Linked DNA regions of Tribolium castaneum. The protein of the gene in region 1 purifies or fractionates together with the protein of each later gene. This does not show direct contact. Links are inferred from orthologs where the notes say so. Each region holds a gene or a part of one and is shown in the gene's direction. Other genes may lie near its edges. The genes, in order: Gnf1 and replication factor C subunit 4.

Evidence for each region.
Region 2: the proteins of Gnf1 (region 1) and replication factor C subunit 4 fractionate together in Homo sapiens (co-fractionation; 7 studies listed by BioGRID and IntAct, counting the BioPlex papers as one, with this or other methods). This does not show direct contact. The link is inferred for Tribolium castaneum from reciprocal best matches to the Homo sapiens genes RFC1 and RFC4.

Annotation. Positions count from the first base shown.
Region 1 is NC_087398.1:12,867,725-12,871,761, reverse strand, and holds the start of Gnf1 (replication factor C subunit 1), read left to right. Parts: upstream 1-1,237; 5' UTR 1,238-1,379; coding exon 1,380-1,388; intron 1,389-1,439; coding exon 1,440-2,013; intron 2,014-2,060; coding exon 2,061-2,215; intron 2,216-2,266; coding exon 2,267-2,390; intron 2,391-2,444; coding exon 2,445-3,230; intron 3,231-4,037. Other genes in the region: mRF1 (peptide chain release factor 1-like, mitochondrial), read right to left, coding at 1-650, 699-726. UniProt on the Homo sapiens protein: Subunit of the replication factor C (RFC) complex which acts during elongation of primed DNA templates by DNA polymerases delta and epsilon, and is necessary for ATP-dependent loading of proliferating cell nuclear antigen (PCNA) onto primed DNA.
Region 2 is NC_087402.1:11,620,040-11,631,586, forward strand, and holds replication factor C subunit 4, read left to right. Parts: upstream 1-4,260; 5' UTR 4,261-4,321; coding exon 4,322-4,428; intron 4,429-4,478; coding exon 4,479-4,754; intron 4,755-6,900; coding exon 6,901-7,294; intron 7,295-7,347; coding exon 7,348-7,461; intron 7,462-7,502; exon of another isoform or gene 7,503-7,515; coding exon 7,516-7,599; intron 7,600-7,646; coding exon 7,647-7,739; 3' UTR 7,740-7,772; downstream 7,773-11,547. Other genes in the region: Ranbp21 (exportin-5), read left to right, coding at 1,160-1,283, 1,338-1,616, 1,665-2,092, 3,745-3,873. UniProt on the Homo sapiens protein: Subunit of the replication factor C (RFC) complex which acts during elongation of primed DNA templates by DNA polymerases delta and epsilon, and is necessary for ATP-dependent loading of proliferating cell nuclear antigen (PCNA) onto primed DNA.

The DNA of each region.
Region 1 (4,037 bases):
TACAAGATTTAACAAAGTCTCAATTTTGTACTGTTGATCTAGTTTCTTAATCAAACTCCCTAAAGCATCATTCCCTTGAAGAAACCCTTTAAGGTTGTGCACATTGCACCCCTGTAACCTATGATCAGTGATCCTGTCTTGCGGAAAATTATAAGTCCTAATTTTCTCGTTTCTAAAATTCGACCTAACTTGGTTCTTCCTCATATTCTCGTTCCTCGCTATCTGCTCTTCAAGATCACGTTGATAAATCAAAGCCCTCAACTTAGCCAAAGCAATTTGACGATTTTTCACTTGAGACCTGTCCACTTGACACTCCACACTAAACCCCGTGGGCAAATGTGTCACCCGGACGGCACTTTCGGTCGTATTCACGTGCTGCCCCCCAGCCCCACTCGCCCGTTTCGTCTCAATTTTCAAATCTTTGTTATCGATGTTAACTTCAATCTCTGTGGGTTGTGGAAGGGCAACAACCGAGACAGTGCTGGTGTGAATACGACCCGCCTTTTCCGTAGTCGGGATTCTCTGGACCCGGTGAACCCCCGCTTCATGCTTGAAAAATTGAAACACTTGAGGTCCGTTAATTAGGGCACTTGCGTGCCTGATTCCGCCAATGTCAACTGGGGAGTAATCAGCGATTTGCGTTTCCCAGCCTGGAAAATACAAAGGTTTGTGTTTGAAAAAACTGGTGAATTTCTTACCTTGATGCTCGGCAAAATTACAATACATTTCGAATAATTCGTTAGCAAATAACATTGCCTCTTGGCCCCCAACTCCAGCATTAACTTCCAATACGATGGAGTTGCACTCATCTTCCTTATCTGACGGTAAAATTGCTTCAAGTAGTTTTTCATCAATAGACTTGATCCTGCTTTCAAACGTCAGTTTTTCCTCTTCTGCCAGTTTCCTAATATCATCGTCTTTTTCGTTCAATAATTCGGACAAATTTTGTATGTTTTCGACAGCATCTTTTCTTTCATTTAGTGCGTTAATTAGAGGCTGCAATTGATGAAAGCGACTATTGGCAGTGTAATTGTTCAATTTTAAAAGCCCCTCATATTCATGTTCCAATCGTTTAATGTAATTTCGGAGAGACACCCCTTTGATGGCCAAATCTAGATCATACTTAGACGTTGTATAAAAAACGTAATTTTTTCGGACTAGTAATACCCTTCGTAATAGTGTTTTCGAAAATAAATACATGTTTTTATAATTTGAGGTTAAAGAGGTTATTTTTTTCTAACCTGAAAAACTAACTGTCAATTGAAATTTGTTGTGGCGGGAGATTTCCCGGATTGTGTTTGTGAATTAAACAACAACCTGCAAACAGATAATAATTTGATAAAAACAACAGATAATTTTGGGTGTAACGTAATCGTACCATGTCGAAAGTAAGCCAAAACTTGTATTTTTCCCAAACGAGCAATTAACCTTAATTTTAGGACATCCGTTCCTTTTTCACTGTAATTTCAAAGAAGTCTGATGCAAATTCGCCCAAAGCTGCTTCTCCTGCCGTTAAAAAGAAGCCAAAACGTATCATAGACTCCGATGATGAGGACGTGATTTCTGCCACTCCAGACAAAGAGCAGAAGAAGGTTGAGAAGAAACGTGAAGTTCTAAGTTCAGACTCTGATGAAGACGCGAAGAAAAAAAGGAAGACTGAAGAACCGAAATTAAAACCGGTGAATGTGGCCGACGTGTTTAAGAACAGTCCTATAAAACAGAGCAAGGTTGAAGTGCCACAAACACCCGAAGTCAAGCCTACAAAAGCAGAAGAGAAAAAACCCAAAAATAGGAAGAAAAAGCACGATGCGGAGAAGGAGATTCACAACAATAGTGCTTTCAACAAGACGCTGGAAGACTTAGATGATGATATTTTCGAACAGAGTATTCATCTTATTGAGTCAATTGAGGAAGCGTACCAGGGTGATAAAGAAAAGAAAGAAAGTAAAAATGAATCAGATAGTCAAGTTCAAAGCGCAAAGAAACGATCAAGAAACGATTCGTCAAGTGATAGTAAGTAGTTTTAAGTTTGTTTGAAATTCAAGATAACGTATTTTCAGATCAAACACCTAAGAAGAAGAAAATTGAGCATTCGGACTCTGGTATTGATCCGGGACAAGAAGCTCATGAAAAAAAGAGATACTCAGCCATGCTCTACCAAAGGTACCTCAACAGAGGGGAACCCAAACATCTTGGAATGAAGGAATTGCCAAAAGTGTGTCGTTCAAAATGTTAAAAAACTTACAATTGTCTTTCTTATTTCCAGGGGAAGCCGAATTGTTTGCAAAATTTGTGTTTCCTAAGAACTGGCGTTTTAGACTCGCTTGATTCGGAGGAGTTTGCAAATATAATAAAACAACACGGTGGACGTGTAGTGCACGCAGTTTCAAGTACGATTTTTTTGTTATTAATGAAAAAAATAAAGTGCAAGTTATTTTTTTTAGAAAAAGTAAATTATGTGGTTGTGGGTGCAGAACCAGGGCCGGCAAAACTTGCAAAAGCTGAAAGTTATAACATACCTAACATATCTGAAGATGAGCTTTTGGACATGATACTTACAAAGTCAGGGATGGAACCGAAATATTGCAAAAAGAATACGTCGTGTGATAGCGAGGATTTAGGCATTGATTTAAACCATGAAACAAAACCTAGCAAAGAAAAAATAAGTAACAAAACTGAGCCTAAAAAAGAAACGCCTGAAAAAAAATCGAGTGTCAAAAAACAAAACGGTACCGCTCCATCCAAAATAGAGCAGGAAATTAAAAGTGAAACTCTGTCATCTAACAGTTTTTATAGCCAACCTGGCACTAGTAAAGTTTCGGAAAGTACAAAAATCGAAAATAAAGTAGAGGCAGTTCAGTTATCCTTGCCTGAAAAATACAAGCCACAGACACTTCGAGCAGTAATAGGACAACAAGGTGATTCAAGTAATTTGGCCAAACTCAAACACTGGCTTGAAAATTGGTACAAAAATCAAGACCCGAAAGTTAAAAAAACATTAGCACGTCCTAGTCCTTGGTCTACTAAGAAAGATGATGGTGCTTATTTCAAGTGTGCGTTGTTGAGTGGTCCACCAGGTGTTGGTAAAACCACAACTGCAACACTTGTGGCAAAGGAATTGGGTTTGGATATAGTCGAGTTTAATGCTTCTGATACGAGGAGCAAGAAGTTGCTACATGAAGAAGTGGCGCAGTTGTTGAGCACTAAAACAATAGCTGGATATGCAACAGGTCAGTATTAAAATTAAGAAAAATGTTTTTTTTTTCATTACTTCCGCAATAATATTTGTAAAAATACATAAAAGAAATAAATGTATCGTATTAAAAAAAAGAAGAAGAAAAGAATAAAAAACAATATAAAATAAAACAATAGATGCGGTCACGAAATCTAGCTTACAGCCATTCCTCTAGTTTTTGTTTTCATATTTTTCACTGAAAAATTCACGAAAATCTGATAGCATTGCATCTGACAATCTCCTGTCTATTAGTCAACTTTTCCTTGTATCGTCTCTCATCTACGTGCAATATTAATATGTATATCTTGATGACATTTCTCTTCATGTTTATCAATACTGCACTAAGATTTTCGGTAAAGAATGAAGAAAAGTAAGTGAGAGTTAAAAAAAATCTCAAATAATTTCCTGCAGTTCTCTCCTTTTTTTCCTCCCATCAACTTAAATCGTTTTTATAGGATTAGATACGATTTAAATGAGTTAAAGTAGCGTAAATGCAATAACGAAACACCAGATATATTTAGAATTTTGGGAAATTAAAAAAACCAGTAAAAAAAATCTACTAAATTTATGACGTTTATGATGATATCCAGAATTTAAAATATCCATGAAATCGTTATACATAACTGGGATTTCAAAATCGGTACAAATTAAATGCACAGTATTTTATTTAAACGACAATGCACAGAAAAAATAATAATTGCAGCCTGCAAGCTAGTTATTGAACGTTTATTAACTGCGTAAACGGAAACTAGATACTGTGCATATACCATGATTTTAATTAAATACTGTGTGTAGTTTACTT
Region 2 (11,547 bases), on another chromosome or scaffold:
ATAAATCGCAAATCTGTGTCTTACATTTTTAGTAATTCATAAATTTCACGAAAACTTTTACTGAAAAACATTATAAGTATAACGAGTGGATGAGCGTGATTTGTCCGGATTCACATATGTTCTTGAGTTTCCAAAAAAAATACAGCTTTTTTGGACAAAAAGCGTAAAACAAATTGATTTGTATTTTTTGTGGAATTGTAAAATTATTATCCTCAACAGTCGTTTTTTTAAATAATTATTTAACAGTGTAAATTATACCTAAAGTTGCAGAACGTTGTCAAAGGAGGCTACGAGGGCTCTGTTGACATAAATGATTTCATAACTTTGTAGCTCAATTTCGGCTTTAGTCCAATTTCAAGCCCATTCAGTTTAAATTTTTTGTTGTAACTTGTAAGTTTTTTGTAAAGTGTACTGTTTTCGCGTAAAATGATAAAATGTACTAAGATGCAGTCGATATCAGTCCAGATAGTTTTATTTTAACGTTTCTAGCAAAAAAAATATTTGTCAATTTATTTTTTAAAATAAAAAGAATTTAATTTAATTATTTTGAAATGATTCCTGGCCTTGTTAGTTGGTTCCACTTTAAAACAAATGAAGGGAGTTGGATCACCATACCTTCTAACATTACCGCTGAAATATTTGCACTTGTTTGCGAGAGCCTGTATAATAGTTGGTAATCGGTTTGAATCACAATAAAGAAATAGTTTTAGTTACCGGGATTTATTTAATTCCTTACTAAATTGAAGTTATTTATAAAATAACGTTGTAAACTTTAAAATGGGTTGTTTTCATCAATGTATACCTTTTTGTATCAAATTTTTTCGAATCTCATTTATAACTTTGTGATAATTTTTGGTGGCTTGTTAGTTTTTAAACATTTATTGTATACTTGATAACGATAAATTATCGTTCGCGGTGATCGAAAATCCGTAACTGATTCTGAACCGTACATTAGCTTTAAATAAATCTTGGACTAGTTCAGGATATAGTCTTAAATATCCTCCGAACAAAGCTATTATCTTTAGTCCTAATTTGTTACGAGAAAACTAAAATCTACCCAACGAGAGTCTTCTAAAAAACTTTAGTCATTGTTGCCAAATGAAGATTTCAATTGCCAACTTAATTGTTATATCTTACAATAATGTTGTTTCCATTTTAGTGTATCCCAGATTATCGAATGCGACCCATAATTCGTGTTTTCTTAAAACCCTTTATCTATTCTTGTCCTACGCCATTCTACGAAGCTGTACTTTTGCCCATCGTTGCACACATAGCACCTCTAAGTACGATCAAATAGTGTTATGTAGCAAATCAGAATTATACAACCAACGTTTTAGTGTTATCACGTTTACACGCAAAATGGTTACAAGTGAACGAATTTCGCAATCGCGAAGGACAAGAAGATAACGCTGACACTCAAGAAGTTCTTGAAGATATTTTAACACGAGCTCTAACTCGTGAATATTTGGACGTACTAAAGGTGGCTTTAGTAGGCGGTGGACTCACACCTGAAACAAATACTGAAAATATGGAAACTGAAGATCTGAGTATGGATTCCCCAACACCGCCTCCTCCAACACGATCGAATATGACCACGGAGGTTATATCTGATTTAGGTTTGTGACAATATAAATAATCAAATTTTGGCTAATTTCATGTTCAAGGTTTGGTACTCTTGCGTAGCGAGAAAACTTGTCAGTCGATTGTGTTGGCAGTACTGGGTGCGTTGTCATGGATTGACAGTAACGCATCGTTAAAAGCAACTTTTTTGACTGGACCTATAGTTAGACAATTGGTTTCTGATAGTTCTTTAAACGGAGAGATGGCAGCACATATAATGGCGTCCGTTTTGAACGCTTTGATGTTACATGGGCAACATGAAGCCAATCAAGGGTCTTTATTGACCTTAGGTGCACAAATGTATGAAATGTTACGGCCTACTTTTCTCGAAGTACTCGGTGTGATGCAACAAATTCCCGGAGTGAACCCAGTTGATTTGCAAAAGTTGGATGAAAGAATTTCAGGCAGTACAAGTAAAGGAAATAAGGTCGAGAAGGTGAAGAAGGATTTGTTTCGGAAAATAACGGGAAATGTAAGTTTTTCGTCTATTCTTTGCTCAAGGGCTCTCTGGTGTACGATATAGAATCACAACTTTTTTCCCAAATTAAAGCAACCTTGCAGAAATTTAATTTTCTTAGAAGAACATACTTTTTTGATCAGAAGAAATTCGGCACTGTGATTTTTTTTGAGTTTCAATAATTTTTTATAAAGTTACTTGGGGCTCAATTACTTGATAATCCACTGTTCAAAGATGGTTCTTTATCAAAAAGTCGACTATGGTCTTAAATTCAGTGTGCCGTTTCGTTCAGATAACTACCGTAGTTTTTAAGAAAAGTCATCGCGGTGTCATCGCTATCAAATTTTTGCTTATTTGTTTTATCATTTTTATGCATTTTTCGGCAATATTGTTTCAACTTTCAATTGTAGGGTGTGTCTTGATTTGTGTTTTAAATTCTGGTGCTTACTTAAGTAGTTAGTCTGAGCTGTCGTTTTTCTGTTTGAAGCGTTTTTGCTTCTTTTGAGGGATTTATCACTTTTGCCAGAATTCACTATTTTGTCACGTTTAAAATTTATAGGTGTCTTTTATAATAATAAATTTGTTCTGCTGTTCTGATAAATCTTGTTCTGGGTCATGTAAATAAAAATACTGAAAACTAACAAAAAATTACACAGTCGAATTCTTAGTCAAAATATCTTTTATTTGAGGTATCACAAAGGGCATGTTGCCATTTAAAATTTTGTAAGGGTTGTTTGTGTTACAAGGGGGGTTGGCGCTACAACTTTTATACATTAGGTGTCCCCCTTTTAATAAAAATTGACTTGTTTTGGAATCTTTTAATTTTTTGCTTATTTTCGTAGATACTTAGGGTGGCTCAATAGAAAAACAAAAACAAAAATGGTGTTTTTGAACTATGTTCACTTTTTGTTTTTGAGATTTTTTTAAAAGTGACCGAAAATGCTAAGGTTATTCGGAACGCATTTTTATTTTTATTTTTTTATTAGTCAAATAGTCAAATTAGTCAAATGCGAAATTTGATCGAAATTAATATATATTTTTTGTTTGTTTCATCCAGTTTAAGTTAAAAATCAATGAATTATTTAAAAATAGTGGTTTTGCTTTGAAAAATTACTAAAGACTTTTGGAAATATATTTTTTTCTTGTGTTTTAATATGTTTGTCAGTTGGGAATACAATTGTTTTGTAAAAATTTATTGAATACGGTTCGCAAAAAAATCATATTTAGCCAAAAATTGTTGATTTTTGTTTTACAATATCGCCAAACAAACAAAAAACTTGAAAATGGTGCCCTTAATTAAATCATTAGTTTTGGTTGAGATTTTTTGCTACAACCATCGAATAATGATCAAAGTAAGATAAGAGTTACATTATTTTTGCTCTTTTGGGATATATGCCGAACTTCTTTTTATTTGTTTTTTTAAAAACAAGTTTTTGTAGCAAAAATTTTTTTTTGAAATATATTACTAAATTTTTTATACTATTTGTTACTTTAATTTTTTACTAAATTGTGTCAATATTAATTAGTTTATGTGATTTTATTTAAAACGTATTTCTTTAAATGCTACAAGTGAATGTCGTGATATCGGAATTGACTACCAGAGAGCGCAAACAGTTCTAACTTGGGTTATAGAATTTGAGTTATATCGTAACTTGATTTTTTTTCAGTTGATTGGACGAAGTATGGGCCAGCTTTTTAAAAAAGAGGTCAAAATTCATGACCTACCCAGCTTAGCATTTTCGAAGAAACCTCAACCGAAAGAAGTGACACCTGACTTGCAAAATGTGTTTAGTTAATATTGCCTGAAATATTATCTAATTGTTATTTATTTAATTTATTGTACAACATTCCTTGTTGTTCAATTGGTCAAGACCAACTTTATCATGATCAATCAATGCATTCTTTTGTAATATATTGTTGTAATTTAATATTATTTACAATCTTATCTCTTGGTCTCTAATAAATAGTAATTTTTCAAACGATTTTTTCAATTTTTTTTGACATTGAAACAAACAAACCTCAAGCAGTGAAGCGGTTACCAGAAAACATTCCATAAAATCTAATTTAATTTAATTTATAAATTTACAATCTTTGTCGCTTATAGTTAGATAATCACTAATTTTTGGAATGGTTTTTACTACTGTTTTACTAAAATTTCTGTGCGCCATCTGTGAAGCGGTAGCATCAACATTCGTCGTTTGACAACTTAACCTCAAATAAAACGCGCCAAATATTTACGCAAAAATGCAGGCCTTTCTCAAGTCGGGAAAGTTAGATAATAGTGATAAATCAGTGCCTTCAAGCTCGAAAACATCAAAAAAGTCGAAAGCCGTCCCGTGGGTTGAAAAATAGTACGTAAAATTATTAGTATATTTGTTTGTTTGAAATAGGTTGTTTGCAGCCGTCCTAGGACAGTCTCGGACGTTGTGGAACAGAGCGAGGCTGTTTCAGTGTTACAGCAATGTATTTCAGGGGCGGATCTCCCAAACTTGTTGTTTTATGGTCCTCCTGGGACAGGCAAAACCAGCACAATTCTGGCAGCTGCAAGACAGCTTTTTGGTGACTATTACAGAGACAGAATTCTTGAACTGAATGCGTCCGATGAACGAGGAATTCAAGTTATTCGAGACAAGGTCAAGACTTTTGCACAACTAACTGCTAGCGGTACAAGGCCTGAGTAAGCTTTGCGAATTATTTTTTGTTAAAAACCTGGTCAACAGTGATGTGTACAGGGTGCTGCATTATGGATGTCCAAACAGGGGATCTCCGAAACTAAGAGATTTAGAGAAAAACGAGTGACGCATTTCCGGGTCCATTTTTTTTTAAATAATTTTGGTCAAAACCGCATCCTGTTATCGTCTTTTGTTTTCGACTTATAAACAAAAGTTCACATTTTAGTGAAATCTTAAAAAGTTCACATCTTTCTTATTATAAAAGATACACATTTGAAACAAAGACATTATGCAGGCACTTTTTACAGAGAATTTAATAATGCTATCAGCGATTTTTTAACCATTCGTTTAGCTGGAATAACATAAAGTTTTGTTTTTTTTAATAGGAATCATAGGCGGCTGGGATATTTTTCAAAAGCTTATTTTTTCTGATTAGATACGTCTAAATGTGTAATACATTATTTTTAAATATTTAAGAAAAACAAAACATTTTGCTTTTTCTCTATAGTAGGCCATGGAAAAATTTTGGATTTTCAATTAAAACTATGAGAACTGTATTACTCAACAAGTATTTATAATGTAATGATTTTTTAAATTCTAATTAATTTAAAAACAGCGTAATAAATAATTATTAGATCAAATATTTGTGATTAATAAAAATTATTTGTTTTTAGATTTAAAATGGCAAGCTTACATTGTCATTCTATTTTCTAATTAAACATGAAATATCGGAATAAAGAAAAATGTTATTAATTGTATGATTGCTTGTCAATAAAATTTTATTTTACAGAAAAATGTCAATCCAAACACCAAAATTAAATCCCATCTGCGGTAAAAAAAATACATAACATTAACAACGTCCCCCGACCAACATTGCACTTCACTAAATTATAAAAAAAGTGTCATCAAATGGTAGTGACACAAGGTTTTCACTTTTCTGCACTTTTTTATGTAATTAAAATCTGCGATAATCGTATATTTGTTCGATTGAAAATAACTTTAACATAGCTTATTTTGATAATTTACCTTTTATGTGAAATAGTTTTACCATGGCCAACTACTTTCAAATATTTTAAATATATTTTTTATCAAAAATATACCAGATATCAAACTATATTTATATTGTTTTCAGTTCAGAAAAAAATAAGCTTTTCGAAAATGTCATAGCAAACTATGATTCTCCTTTAAAAAAATACAACTTTATGTTATTAGTTATTACAGCTAAACGAATGATTAAAAAAAACGCTGATAACATTATTAAATTCTCTGTAAAAAAGTGCCGGCATAATGTCTTTGTTTATCTTTTATAAAAAGAAAGATATGAATTTTTTTAGATTCCGCTAAAATGTCAACTTTTGTTTATAAGTCGAAAACAAAAGACGATAGCGGGATGCGGTTTTGATGAAAATTATTTTCTCAAAAAACGGACCCGAGCTCGTTTTTCTCTAAACCTCTTAGTTTCGGAGATCGCCTATTCCGACATCCAAAATGCAGCAACCTGCACAATTCTTGGTTTTAATTCTTTTTGATGAAGAAGTATTAGCTCTTTCAAAACTATAAAAATGCTAACGTCACATTTTCTCTTAAAATTAGCTGTTATGATTGTAATGAATTATTCATGCACTTCAAAAAAATAATTGGTAATGTAATTTATAGTTTCAATGAGAGATCTAATGATTTATAACTATTTTACATTTTATCAATCTTATTTAATAAAATAATTCGTTAAAATGCGACGTTGTCATTTATAGTTTTGAAACAGCTGATATGTACCCCATTTCAGTTCATAGTTAAATTGCAACAGCGCATTTGAATTTTTCGGAGCGAGAAATAAAGCACAAACTGAGAGTTTCCGTAAAAGTAAATCCCACCAGAAACCTTCAATTTGTGCTCCATTTCACTCCAAAAAATTCAAATGCGCTGTTGCAACATTCTACTATGAACTGACATGGGATATAAAACAGAAATTTCGAATTAATTATAAAATCGTTTGAATTCAATAAAGAACAAACTTACCTGACAATGTTAATTTTGTCATTTTTAGTTGCGCAAATTTTAGTTGTTTCTTTTGGCTTGTTATATTTTTTTGCAATACCTTTTTGACCACACTTTTATTTGGAATAATGAATACTTATACAATGTTTTTTTAAGTGGTAAACCGTGCCCTCCGTTCAAAATCGTCATTTTGGATGAAGCGGACTCGATGACACACGCAGCTCAGGCTGCCTTACGTCGAACGATGGAAAAAGAGTCTCGATCAACCAGATTTTGTCTAATTTGTAACTACGTGTCACGGATTATCGAACCGTTGACATCACGATGTACGAAATTTCGATTTAAACCACTGAACGAAGCTATGATCCTTGAACGGTTGAGTTTCATATGTGGGAAAGAAAATGTCGAATGTAGCGATGAAACTTTAGCTACCTTGGTTGAGACAAGTGGGGGCGATATGAGGAGAGCCATTACTTCATTACAGAGTTGTGCGAAATTGAAAGGAAGTGGGGTTCCTATAAGTATTGATGACGTGTTGGAAGTGACCGGTGTATGTTCTCATTTTTTTTAATATTGTTTTTGGTTTAATAGAAATTGTAATAGGTTGTGCCAGAACGTTGGTTAAAGAAGTTTTTAGATGTTTGTAAAACCAAAGATCAAAACAAACTTCAAGCGTTTTTGAAAGAAATGATGTTTGAAGCATATGCCGCCTCACAGGTTAATCAGTGTTGCAACTTAATTTCACTCACTTTGATCAGAAATTTGTTTTAGATTTTGGAACAGCTCAATCAGTACATTGTTAATTTTGAGGGGTTCACTGACCAACAAAAGGCGATTATTGGTCAGAAACTGGGGGTAATTATCTATTCCGTGTTTTGCGTGAGATGTATTAAATTTTGTAGGTTGTGAGTTTTAAACTGCAAGATGGTGGTTCGGAATTTATTCAACTGTTGGATTTGGGGTGTTCTATAATTCGAGCATTTTGTAATGTGTAAGTCTCATTAAATTAAATTTTCCCAAAATACAAACGTTTTATTTCGAGTTGAAATTAAAAATTAGTTTGTTTTCAAAAATATAAGGTGGAACGCAAATTGCTAATTCTAAGCGATAATTTTTTGGGCACCGTCGCCTACTTATTAAAACGCTGCGAATATGGTTGAAGATACAAAAAAATGTAAGGAACGATGTTGTAGAGAATTAAATTTGCTACAAAAAAGTCGCTTGAGCATCTTTGAACGTCTTTTAAAGTCTAAACCGTTGTAGGTAAAGATATGGGCTCGCTGACTGTTTTAAAGAAATTTAATTCTCTACAACTTTTTTTTGGACATTTTTCTTGTATCTTTAACCGCATTTTGAAGCATATTGAAAAATACGGGAAAAAGCGCAAATTTTAAATTTCAAATAATTTTTTTCTCATGTTTCTCATGAAAATTTTTGTCCTCCGTTTTTCTCAGTCTGTTGAGAATGCAAAGCTTAATATTAAAATATTAATATTAAATAAAATATTTCGGCATATTTTTTTCAAGTAATTAGTGAATTGGTTGAATTTAAAACGATTTCACACCGAGTGACATCGAGACGGTATTACGCTCGAAGCGTTGTTTCTGCTAGTGCATTAATTTAAAACTCAATTTTCAAGCAAAATAATAAACTAAATCGTTTTTTTACATTTGGATGTAGTTCCTAGGTTAACGTATTATGTACCTCATAGACCATTTCTTATCTCGATTTAAATATTTGTACCCAAGTTATAACGGGGTAAACAGCGTAATAATCTTAATATTTTTATGGAAAAACTTAAGTTCAAATAGCATGAAAAAAATAGTGTTATATACACGACCCATACAAAAAATTATCAAAAAACATGTTACTATTTTTAAATAAAAAAATAAAACGACTAAAAATTGAACATTTTTTAAAATTTATGTATTAATGTTGCTAAGTTACCGTATTTTTTTCATGCCATTTTTTTAATAGAACAATAAATTAAATCGACTTTTAATCCGTTTAAACTCGGTTATAAATACTTAAAATAAGATACCAACTGACCTGTGAGGTAGTGACTGAATTTAGGAACAAGGTGCAGTTGTAAAGAAAGCAATTTGTTTATTACTTTTCGCGCGCTTACTTGAATAACTCCTCTTCAAACGTTCTGAGTATAGTTTTGATTCTGAACAACGTTGTCTTCAAACATCAAGGAGGCTATGGTCTTTCGTAAACTGTGGTATAAATTAGACAACCAAAAATACATACAATGGCTTCATGATCAGGTGCTGCCCTCTGTGTAGTCCGTTGATTCTTAATATTTTTCTTCAGCGCTCAGCAGGTTTAGTGGCATATATAATCAGCGGTTTTGTGTTTTGTGCTCAGCATAAAATACTAGAAGTGTCTTGAAAGACGAATTTGCAAATATGTAGTGTTGCTGAAACGTGATTTTCTTTTACGTAAACGTTTTGTTGTTAAAATACTGTGTGACCGGTTGGACCTGGAGATTTCAAGACTTCCTTTAGGTTTGATAGTTTGCACGTGGGTTCGACCGGCTATACCTTCCCCAGTTTAGGTAAGTACTTGAAGTTTCTGATTAATTTGATGCGTTTTTCATGTAAAAACTGTAAAAAAGTTGGTTATTTGACAAATATTCGAGCAGTTAAAGGGAAACGAACGTGTTACGGATTGAGGTTTTTAGTTATTAGGGGTTGTACTGGTTGTAGATATAGACTAAATTAAAATGCAAACCACATGTATCTCTATCAATAGTATTGTCAGGTAATTGTATTGACCACCATGTAACCGCATAAAAAAAGTATCTAAACTCAAAACAAACTCATGCGAATTTCTGGTCAAAAATACCTTTCATTTGGGGTACCAGAAAGGGGGTTGGTACAACAACTGTTAAAGGTACACTAAAAGATGACTCCCTGAAAATAAAAATTGATCTGTCTCAGGACCAGTGTGAGGAAATTTTATGGGCGAAGGTTAGTGCATAGGCGCGCGCTTGCAGTCAGATAAACCTTTAAATCGAAATGTTGTGGAACAGCTTGCATTGTTGATATAAGTTAGGAAAGAGTATTAAAAAATGTTTAGACAAAGAATTCTTTGTTTCAACCCTCGCGAAGGGGCTAAAAAGACGTTTTAGCTAAAAATTTGCAAACACCTAAAATTGGACACATTTTGCGTTTACATACTAATATCTTCCTTCTGGATAAAGCTAGAAACTCCGTTTTTTTTGCAAACAAATTTTCAATAAATGCAGATTTATACGTAGTTTAAGAAGGTTGAGTTTTGATAAAGGGAAACCAAAAAAATTACATTTTCTTGTAATCTTGCATAATTGTGTAGTGAAATTTTCGAGATGCGAGAAAGTTTTTTAATTTAAAAGATCGAGACGAAATAAAGCTAATACTTGAAATAAATTTTTGGTGCAAGAATCATTTCGTTATCTGTAAGACTCACCAAGTTATTGCAATTTAAAATTACTGCAAAATGCGCCTGAGGTGAAACCGAACCGTATTTCCCTCTGAAGCGTGTTCATCGCCTTTGATCATTTCGAGAGCTAAAAATCGTAATTCGTAAATAATTAAAAAATAATTAATGTCACTTATCTATTAATATTATTCCTTTACTTTTAACCGCCCTAACTCTCTGTTAATTTTAATAATATCTAAAAAGTCAAAAGAACATTTTTATCTCATGTACTTATTTAAAAAGCATAAAAGTGACCAAGTAGAACTAAATTGCGAAATTGTAATTCGTTTCAAAGTATTCTTTGGTGTGACATTAATATTTTTTTAATTATTTACCATTTTTAGTCCTTGAAATGTTTTCAACCACACGTTTCAAAGGGAAATACGCTGTGATTTCACCTCGAGCACATTTTGTAGATAACTAAATAATCCTTCTTTAAAGTCCTTTTTAAAAAAATATACAAATCGTAACGTTTCTGACGAATCAACCGGTAACATTAATTGTATAAACCCCTAGTAAACTACGCCAATGCACGCGCTATAACGGACCATTTCATCGATAAATATGAACATCGCGAGAGCGCTACGACGAGTCAGCTGATCGGTTGTGGCCTCATGGCCACCCCATAAAATTTCCTCACACTACTCAGGACACAGATTAAAAGGATCAGGATTTTCTATCACGTGATCGCAACCTCTTCCTTTCTGAAAAACCCAACTTAAACCGTACAACAAGTTTTCATCTTCTGAACAATAACTAATAAAAAATAGTTAGATTATAAAAAAGCGTAAAAATGCAAGGGTGGTATGACTTGTTCGAGTTAATTTAGAAGAATTGAAATTTTAGCACTTGCTTTTTCTGAGGCATCGTAACCTTTTTTTTACTTTAGCTACTTCTGGATTTTTGAAAAATTTTTTTTGCATTTCGCTTTCAAAAAGCCTCTAGATCAAATGCCCCGTTTTCGAAAAAATTCGACCTTGAATGACCTTGATCTAGACCTTTTTTAAATTGTGCCGATTGAAAATATGACCTTGAGAGAATTTTAATTGTGTTGCCATTTGGTCATACATAAAATGGGGTTGAATTATACACCTGATAGTTAAAAAATTTACACTAAAATTTCGTTAACACTCGCTAATAAATGATATTAACCCTAAATGCAACTATAAATGAGGCACGGCGCCTACAGATGATAGCCCGCAGGCTGGGGCTTCGCTCCAGCGAACTAAAAATAAACATACCCCACGAACGATTAAACTCGAAAATGTAGAACGCGAAACGTGGAATACTGATTTTTATGGAGCTGCGGCGCGTACAGGTCGTAGGGTACAGGCCAGC